Linked DNA regions of Sus scrofa. The protein of the gene in region 2 purifies or fractionates together with the protein of the main gene of each other region. This does not show direct contact. Links are inferred from orthologs where the notes say so. Each region holds a gene or a part of one and is shown on either strand. Other genes may lie near its edges.

Evidence for each region. The genes of interacting proteins can lie anywhere in the genome.
Region 1: the proteins of PAXIP1 (region 2) and PAGR1 purify together in Homo sapiens (affinity purification with mass spectrometry; 6 studies listed by BioGRID and IntAct, with this or other methods). This does not show direct contact. The link is inferred for Sus scrofa from reciprocal best matches to the Homo sapiens genes PAXIP1 and PAGR1.

The regions. Positions count from the first base shown.
Region 1 is NC_010445.4:18,051,341-18,055,517, forward strand, and holds the start of PAGR1 (PAXIP1-associated glutamate-rich protein 1), read left to right. Parts: upstream 1-1,338; 5' UTR 1,339-1,814; coding exon 1,815-2,296; intron 2,297-2,458; coding exon 2,459-2,541; intron 2,542-4,177. UniProt on the Homo sapiens protein: Its association with the histone methyltransferase MLL2/MLL3 complex is suggesting a role in epigenetic transcriptional activation. However, in association with PAXIP1/PTIP is proposed to function at least in part independently of the MLL2/MLL3 complex.
Region 2 is NC_010460.4:3,090,831-3,094,370, forward strand, and holds part of PAXIP1 (PAX-interacting protein 1), read left to right. Parts: intron 1-550; coding exon 551-1,067; intron 1,068-1,540; coding exon 1,541-1,635; intron 1,636-3,540.

The DNA of each region.
Region 1 (4,177 bases), on a different chromosome or scaffold from region 2:
TGAGCAGCCTTGTTTACAGCTTCTTTCCTGCTCCTGCATCCTGCCAGGCTCCTCTGCCAACCGTAGGCCTCCCTGTTCCCTGCTCTGTGTCCAACCTCCCTGCACTTTTGCCTGCCTCCCCTTCAGCCTCTTGGCTTCCCTACCCCTGCACTTCTGGAAACCTCCCTGCACTTCTGGAAACCTCCTTGCACTTCTGGAAACCTCCCTGACCATCTCCCAGACTCTCTTTGCTCTCAGCCTTCCTGCATCTCTTGCGGCCTTCCTGCACTACACCCTCCCGAGTCCCCTGCACCTCATCCCGGATCTCCATTTCCCAACTTTTTATTGTCTCAGCATCCCCCCCTCCCCCCCCTCCTCTCTTCCTTCCCTTCCTCATTCATCTCCTCTTCCCTCTCCACACCCTCCACCCCCTTCCTCTTCCTGCCTCCTCATCTCCCCTCTGCATCCTCTCCTCCACCCTCCTCCACCGTTTATTCTGCAAAAACTCCAGCACTTAGATCAGGCTGGGGGAGGGGAGCGGTGTCTGGAGAGGGCTCCCTAGCCCGGGCTCGCGACTGTTCTCTGCAGGGACTACCCAGGCCCAGACACCCCCGGGGTGCCTCGGGGTCGCAGAGCTGGCAAGCCGGGCCTCGTTTGTAGATTTGTGCAGGGGTGGCGGGTACTGTTCCGAACAAGCACCTGGTAGAAGGGAGGGGCGAGGCTCTCGAACCCTCCCCGGTCGGCCCGAGCTGACCTGCCCCGCCTGGGCTTTTTAACCCAGTCGGTTTGTTAAAGGCGTCGCGGCTGGAGTCATTCACGTGCTTTGTAACTGTAAGAACAGAAAAAATTGGACCAAAGCTCCCAGCTGCAGGGAGCAAAGAAGGGGCGGAGAGAGCTGCGATTATTTTCTAAGAGGACGAGAGAGGTTTGTTGCACGCGACAGTTCACTGGGGAGGCAGGGTCTGAGCCACAACGCGGTTCGGAGTTGGTTTGGTTTTGGTTTTTTTGTGTTTTTTTTAATATAAAAAAAAGCGTAGGGAAAAAACCTAAAAGTCTTTAAAAAAAAAAAAAAAAAGGATACATCAAACTGATTCTCCCTTTTTGTATGCCGGATGCTGCATGAGTCTGAAACACCAATAAACGGAGACTGCATGATACTCGCCTCCAGCCTCAGTTGGTCCTTACGTGCCTGCGCCGCGGGGCCGGAGGTACAGCCTCCTTTGGGGCACAACCTACTAGGTGATTTGCGCATGCGCCACCCCCGTGGCCATCTTTACTGTGGGCCGAAGCCTATCGTTCCCGAGCGCCTACCTGCGCATGTGCAAGCCTCCCCTTGCTTTCCTCTCCCAAGTAGCTTTGACTAAAGCGGAGCCTCCCGCGCCGTATCTGTGCGCCTGCGTACTTTGACCCTGCGCGGCCCGGGAGGCGGGTCTTAGCTCCAGGTGCGTACGGCCGCTGAGGTGGGGGACCTTCGAGGTGTGGGGAGAGGACGCCGCATCCAGGTGTAGAGCGGCGTAGTGCGGAGGCGAGAAGAGCGGGTCCGCCCGTCTCCGGCCCGGAAAGTGGTTTCTGCCGCTCGCTGGAAACCTCGGAGTACCGGATCTCGATCTGTGGGGGGCGGGGTCCTTGGAGGGGACTGAGCGCCCCCTCCTGGGAACCGGTGGTCTGGTCGCGAGACCGCTGTTGGAGCCTGATTGGTTAGCGAAACAGTCCCCGAACCCCGGGGTGATCCCTTTTTTTGGGAGGGAGTGGAGGGAGGGAGGGGGCGCGGGGGGAATCCCCGGCTTGGTACTCCTGCATCTCCTGGCATCGCTGGGCCCCTTCCCTAGTGGCTTATGTCCCTTGTCCGGGGTCATGGAGACACGGCAGCCACCGCGGCGGCGCCTCTGTCTGAAGAAGGGGAAGTGACCTCCGGCCTCCAGGCTCTGGCCGTGGAGGACACCGGAGGCCCCTCTGCTTCGGCCGATAAAGCCGAGGAAGAGGGGGAAGGAGGCCGGGAGGAGGCCGAACATGAGGGGTCCAGGGCCGAGGAAGTGCAGGGAGAAGCCCCCAGCACTGAGGGGGAAGAGCCCGCCCAGGGAGACTCCGAGGACTGGTGCGTGCCCTGCAGCGATGAAGAGGTGGAGCTGCCTGAGGATGGGCAGCCCTGGATGCCACCTCCCTCCGAAATCCAACGGCTCTATGAACTGCTGGCTGCCCACGGTACCCTGGAGCTTCAGGCAGAGATCCTGCCCCGCCGACCACCTACGCCTGAGGCCCAGAGTGAAGAGGAAAGATCTGATGAGGAACCCGAGGCCAAAGAGGAGGAAGAGGAAAAGTGAGGATTGCTTCCTTGATGCCAGGAGGAAATAGGGAGGGAGGTGGGACCCAGGAGCATGGGAAGTTAGAGGGAGGGGAAGAGCCCGAAGGCCCGGGAGAAGCACCAGTGGAGGTTTGGAAGGATCTCCCTCACCCTCCTCTCTCTCTCCACCTGTCCCAGGCCGCACATGCCCACAGAATTTGATTTTGATGATGAGCCAATGACACCAAAGGACTCCCTGATTGACCGGAGGCGCACCCCAGGTACAGACAAGAGTGGAGAATGGGGGGCGCGGGGGGGCCTCTGTTCCCACTTACTCCGAAAGGGACTCCCTGAAAGAGGTCTTTGAGGCGTTCTCTGATGGCTTAGTGGCAAAGGACCCAGCATTGTCACTGCTTTGGCACAGGTTCGAACCTTGGCCTGGGAACTTCCACATTCCATGGGTGTGGTCAAAAAAAAAAAAAAAAAAAAGGTCTCTGCTTGGTTCCTTGGTAGCTACACAAATCACAGCTTCAGGGGAGAGCGTGCACTCAGTGGTTGCCATCCTTCCAGTCTAGGTGGTACCCAATTTTCTTTTAAAAGATTATCACAGGTAATTCTATCATATTTCCCATTCCTTTGGTCTCATTTCCCCCCCACCCCCATCCCAGAAGTCCGAGTCTTCTTGGTCATTATCTAGCTCCACATCCCTATGCTACTGCGTACACCTCCTAATCTGACCTAGCTTCCCATGCCTAGAGTTTACCGTCAGAGCCATTCTCTCTCTCTCTCTTGTGTGTGTGTGTGTTTAGGGCTGCATCTGCGGCATATGGAGGTTCCCAGGCTAGGGGTCAAATCAGAGCTATAGCTGCTGGCCTACACCACAGCCACAGCAACATGAGATCTAAGCCACATCTGGGACCTACACCACGGCTCATGGCAACACCGGATCCTTAGCCCACTGAGTGGGGCCAGGGATCGAACCCGAATCCTCATGGATACTAGTCAGGTTCGTTAACCTCTGAGCCAAGACGGGAACTCCTCTCAGAGCCATTCTTGATTTCTCTTTCTTTCTTTTTTTTTTTTTTTTTTTGTCTTTTGTCTTTTTTTGTTGTTGTTGTTGTTGTTATTGTTGTTATTTCTTGGGCCGCTCCCGCGGCATATGGAGGGTCCCAGGCTAGGGGTCTAATGGGAGCTGTAGCCGCCAGCCTATGCCAGAGCCACAGCAACGCGGGATCCGAGCCGCGCCTGCAACCTACACCACAGCTCACGGCAACGCCGGATCGTTAACCCGCTGAGCAAGGGCAGGGATTGAACCCGCAACCTCATGGTTCCTAGTCGGATTTGTTAACCACTGCGCCACGACGGGAACTCCCGATTTCTCTTTCTTTTATGTCAACATTCAAACCAGCAGCAAGTCTTGTTAGGTCTGCCTCCACATTTCCAAATTCAGCTACTAGTCTCTGTCTTTAATGTGACACCCTGATCCAAGCCGTCTCTCTTTCAAAACATAAGTCAGCTCAAATCTGTTTTAAATTTTTTTAAATTATTATTATTTTATTTTTAGGGCCTCAAGTGTGGCAAATGGAGGTTTCCAGGCTAGCGGTCCAATTGGAGCTGCAGCCCCTGGCCTACACCACAGCAACACGTGATCCGGCCACATCTGCGACCTACACCACAGCTCACGGCAACACTGGATCCTTAACCCACTGAGCAAGGCCAGGGATCGAACCTGCAACCTCATGGTTCCTAGTAGGATTTGTTGCTGCTGTGCCACGACAGGAACTCCCAATTCTGTTTTAAATTCTCCGAAGGAGGAGTTCCTGCTTGGTGCAGTGGATTAAGAATCTGATTGCAGTGACTTGGTTCACTGGAGAGGGACGGGTTCAATCCTGGGCCTGGTGCTCTGGGTTAAAGGAT
Region 2 (3,540 bases):
ACAGGGGTCGGGGGCTGGCAGCTGCTGTCCGGGGTGCCCCGTGCCTTCACCCTGGTGTGGGTCTTACTGTCCTCTGCTGGCCCTGTCCCTTGTCGGGAAGGGGCAGCTGTGGAGAGGAGGCTTGACTCAGATGAGTCCCTACTGGTGCCCTCACGCTTGTCGCTCCTGGGGCTCTCGGGTCCAGAGGGGGTCTGGGCGTGGGCGGGAGAAGGGGCCCCCGGAGGGGCACTGCCAGGCACATGCAGACCCGTCACCCCACAGCCTGAGGAACACGTGGGACATTTCGCTGCTCCCTCCCCCGGCCCTCAAACACATCAGCCGGGGTGGGGGGTGTCTGTTAACTGGAATCATTTGCTCATTCCTCTTTGCTTCCTCAGTTTCGGATTTTGGTGGTCTCAAAATACAGATTTATTGACTTCATCGAAATCGGTGATACTTAACGACCAGAAGAAAATTGCAGGTGTTTCGAAGCGTCCAGTTTGATGCTTCCCAGGCATCCGCATGTGTCAGCAATTGTTGACTGGGGCTCTGCGTGATTTTTCTTTTCTAGATCTTGCAGTCCCTTTCGGCCCCAACGAAAAGTTTAGAACAGCAGGTGAATCACAGCCAGCAGGGCCACTCGAACGCCGTGCTGTTCAGCCAAGTAAAGGTGACCACGGAGCCGCATCTGCCCCAGCCACCACCACACCCCGTCCTGCACCTGCCACCCCAACAGGCGGTGCAGCTGCAGCAGCAGTTGCCACACGCCGCACAGCAGCCTTACCCGCCGCAGGCCCTCCCCCAGCACCCGTTCCCACAGCAGCCGATGCACCGCCCCCCGCAGCAGCCGCAGCCCCTCCCGCAGCAGCTGCAGCCCCTCCCGCAGCAGCAGGCCCTGCAGCAGCAGCTGCACCAGCTGCAGCAGCAGCAGCTCGCACAGTTTCAGCAGCAGCAGCTCGCGCGCCTGCACCAGCAGCAGCAGACGCAGACCCAGGCGCCCCAGGCCCTCCAGCACCAGCCGCCGCCCCCGCAGCCCCCGCCGCCGCAGCACCAGCACCAGCTGTTTGGACACGACCCAGCAGTGGAGAGTTAGTGTGGATTTCTGCCTTTTCTCTTCCAAGTCTTACGCTTACGTCAGTGCTTTGAGAGCGTTTGAAGGTGGGCTAAGGATTTGTGTCAGGATCATTCTAGACAGTGGGGGACGGGAGTTTCCTAGGACAAGGGGCAGTTCCATCTCTGGGGGACTTGGGGGCGCCTGCCCTCGGGTGAACATTGGTTTTCGTGGAACTTGGGGCCGCGAGAACCGGCTCAGGCGTGAGCCGTTGGTTTCGTTGGTCTCGTCATTGTGGACAGACGGGCGTGTGGCAGCATTGCAGGCGTGCACAGGCGTGTGCAGATGTGCGCAGAGGCCGGCGGAGAGGCCGCGGCCAGGAGGACACCCCTTCCTCTGCGCCCGCCTGCCCGCCCGCCACCCTCCCTGCGGAAGGAGCTGTTGGTGTCTGTGCGCGCACAGCTTGGGCTCAGGGTTTGACGAACGTCTCCTGTTGTCGTTCTCTCGTAGTTCCAGAGGAAGGCTTCCTCCTGGGCTGTGTGTTTGCCATTGTGGATTATCCGGAGCAGATGTCCGACAAGCAGCTGCTGGCCACCTGGAAAAGGGTGAGGTCGTGGGCCGTACGTGTCTGCTCTGCTTGTGTCCTGGGTCCTTCTCGTCACGTTTTCTGTGACCTTGGGCGGAGCACATCTCTGGGCTTCAGTGGTCTTAGGTAGAAGGGGGAAATGTTGGACTTTCTCATTCTCTTTTTTTGGTCTTTTTAGGGCCGCACCCTCAGCGTATGGAGGTTCCCAGGCTAGAGGTCGAGTTGGAGCTGTAGCTGCCGGCCTACACCACAGCCGCGGCAACCCAGATCCGAGCCACACCTACACCACAGCCACAGCAACACCAGATCCTTAACCTCTGTCCCAGTGGGTCCTAGTCGGTCGGGTTCGTTACCTCTGAGCCACGGCAAGAACTCCAGGACTCTCTCAAGATTCATCTCAGGCCTAGAATTTAAGCGACACAGATCACTCGGCTGAGGTTTGGTGACCTCAGATGGGGGGCTGTCGGCTCGCAGGTGCCTCAGTCGTTTCTGCTTCCCAAGGGTGAGTGGGAGAAGCCCTGGAGTCCCAGGTTGGGTGGGACCCCGGCGTCCTCTAGGCCAGGCGCAGGACTGTCGTCCATCGATTGAGTAATGGCTTTGCGCGGTGGCCTTTGAGGAAAAGCAAAGGGGAACGCTTTTTCCTGCGGTGCCACGAATCCGATTGAGTCAGATTTTCTGTTAAAAAGTGACCTTGTACAGGTGCTTCTCCAAAAGCACCCCTGGTGTCTCAGGGCCTGCCCTGTGCCAGGCCAGGTGAGGCCGGGGCGGGGTGGGCTGCACAGACGGCGGTGAGCAGCGTGCCAGGTGCAGGGAGAGCCCAGGGAGGACACAGCTATGTCGTTGCGGGGTTGGGGAGGGGGGTCAGCTGGAGAACAGTCTCCAGGGACGTAGAGGAATAGGAGTTCGTGGGGGGGGGTCCCCGGGAGTGGCACCGAATGGGGGTGGAGGGGCAGAAAGGGGAGGGAGCAGGTCCAGGAGGCAGGAGACCAAGGCCAGGCCATGCCTCCCGAGACCACGCTTAGATGCCCTGTTACAGAAACGGGCATTCAGAAAGGGGATCGGCTTGTTTCCATGGTGAAGGAGGAGTGAGGAAGACCCTGGAGCCGGCGAGCACCGGCCAGGGCTGTGGGCAGGGGTGAGGCTGGGGGGTTACAGCGGCAGAAGCCCGCCCCAAATCGTGGGCGTGTAGAAGGTGATACGCAGAAACCGTTCTTAAAAAAGAAACAGAGCAAAACCCAAAGATCAAAGGTTCGGTGTACGGGGGTTGGTTTTGTTCTCCAATTAAAGGATGAGTCCGAAAGGCCCACTGTTAAATGACAGGAGTGGGGGACAGAGGAAAGGAAGGCCAGAAGACAGCTCTCAGCTGCAGGGTGCTGTCCGCGTGGGAAGGGCTGGAGAGCACTGGCTGGACCACGGCCGGGAGCCAGACGGCAGTGGCGTCATGTCTGCACTGTTCTGAGGGCAGCGCATTTCTCACCTGGAGCAGCCTCTCCAGTCCGTCAGTGAGGCCGTGGGACAGAGGCAATTTCAGGCCCCTGAAGTCCAAACGTCCCCCTCCCCGAGGCCTGCAAAGGGGCAGATGTGGTTGGGGTGCGGGGGCTCTAGGGGGAGGGGAGGGGAGATCGTGGAGGCAGGTGCAGGTGGGGCGGGGCGGCGTCGGGAAGGGTGATGCTGTGCCTTCTGCCGGTTGGAAATTCTCAGGGCTGCTCCCGGCCTCGGCTCCCTCCCTCTGCCAGGGTGGCACGCCAGGGCCTCGCTGGAGAGCGTGGCGACCGTGGAGAGGGAACTGCGCCGCCCCTCCTGTTGCGGCTCTGTCTTAGGGCCCCCGCCCGGCCCTCCACGTCTGTCCAGTCCAGCTCTGGGCCGAGTCCGTGGCTCCTGGAGGGAGGGCAGCAGGGGGCGTTACATTTCTTTGAAGAGTTTG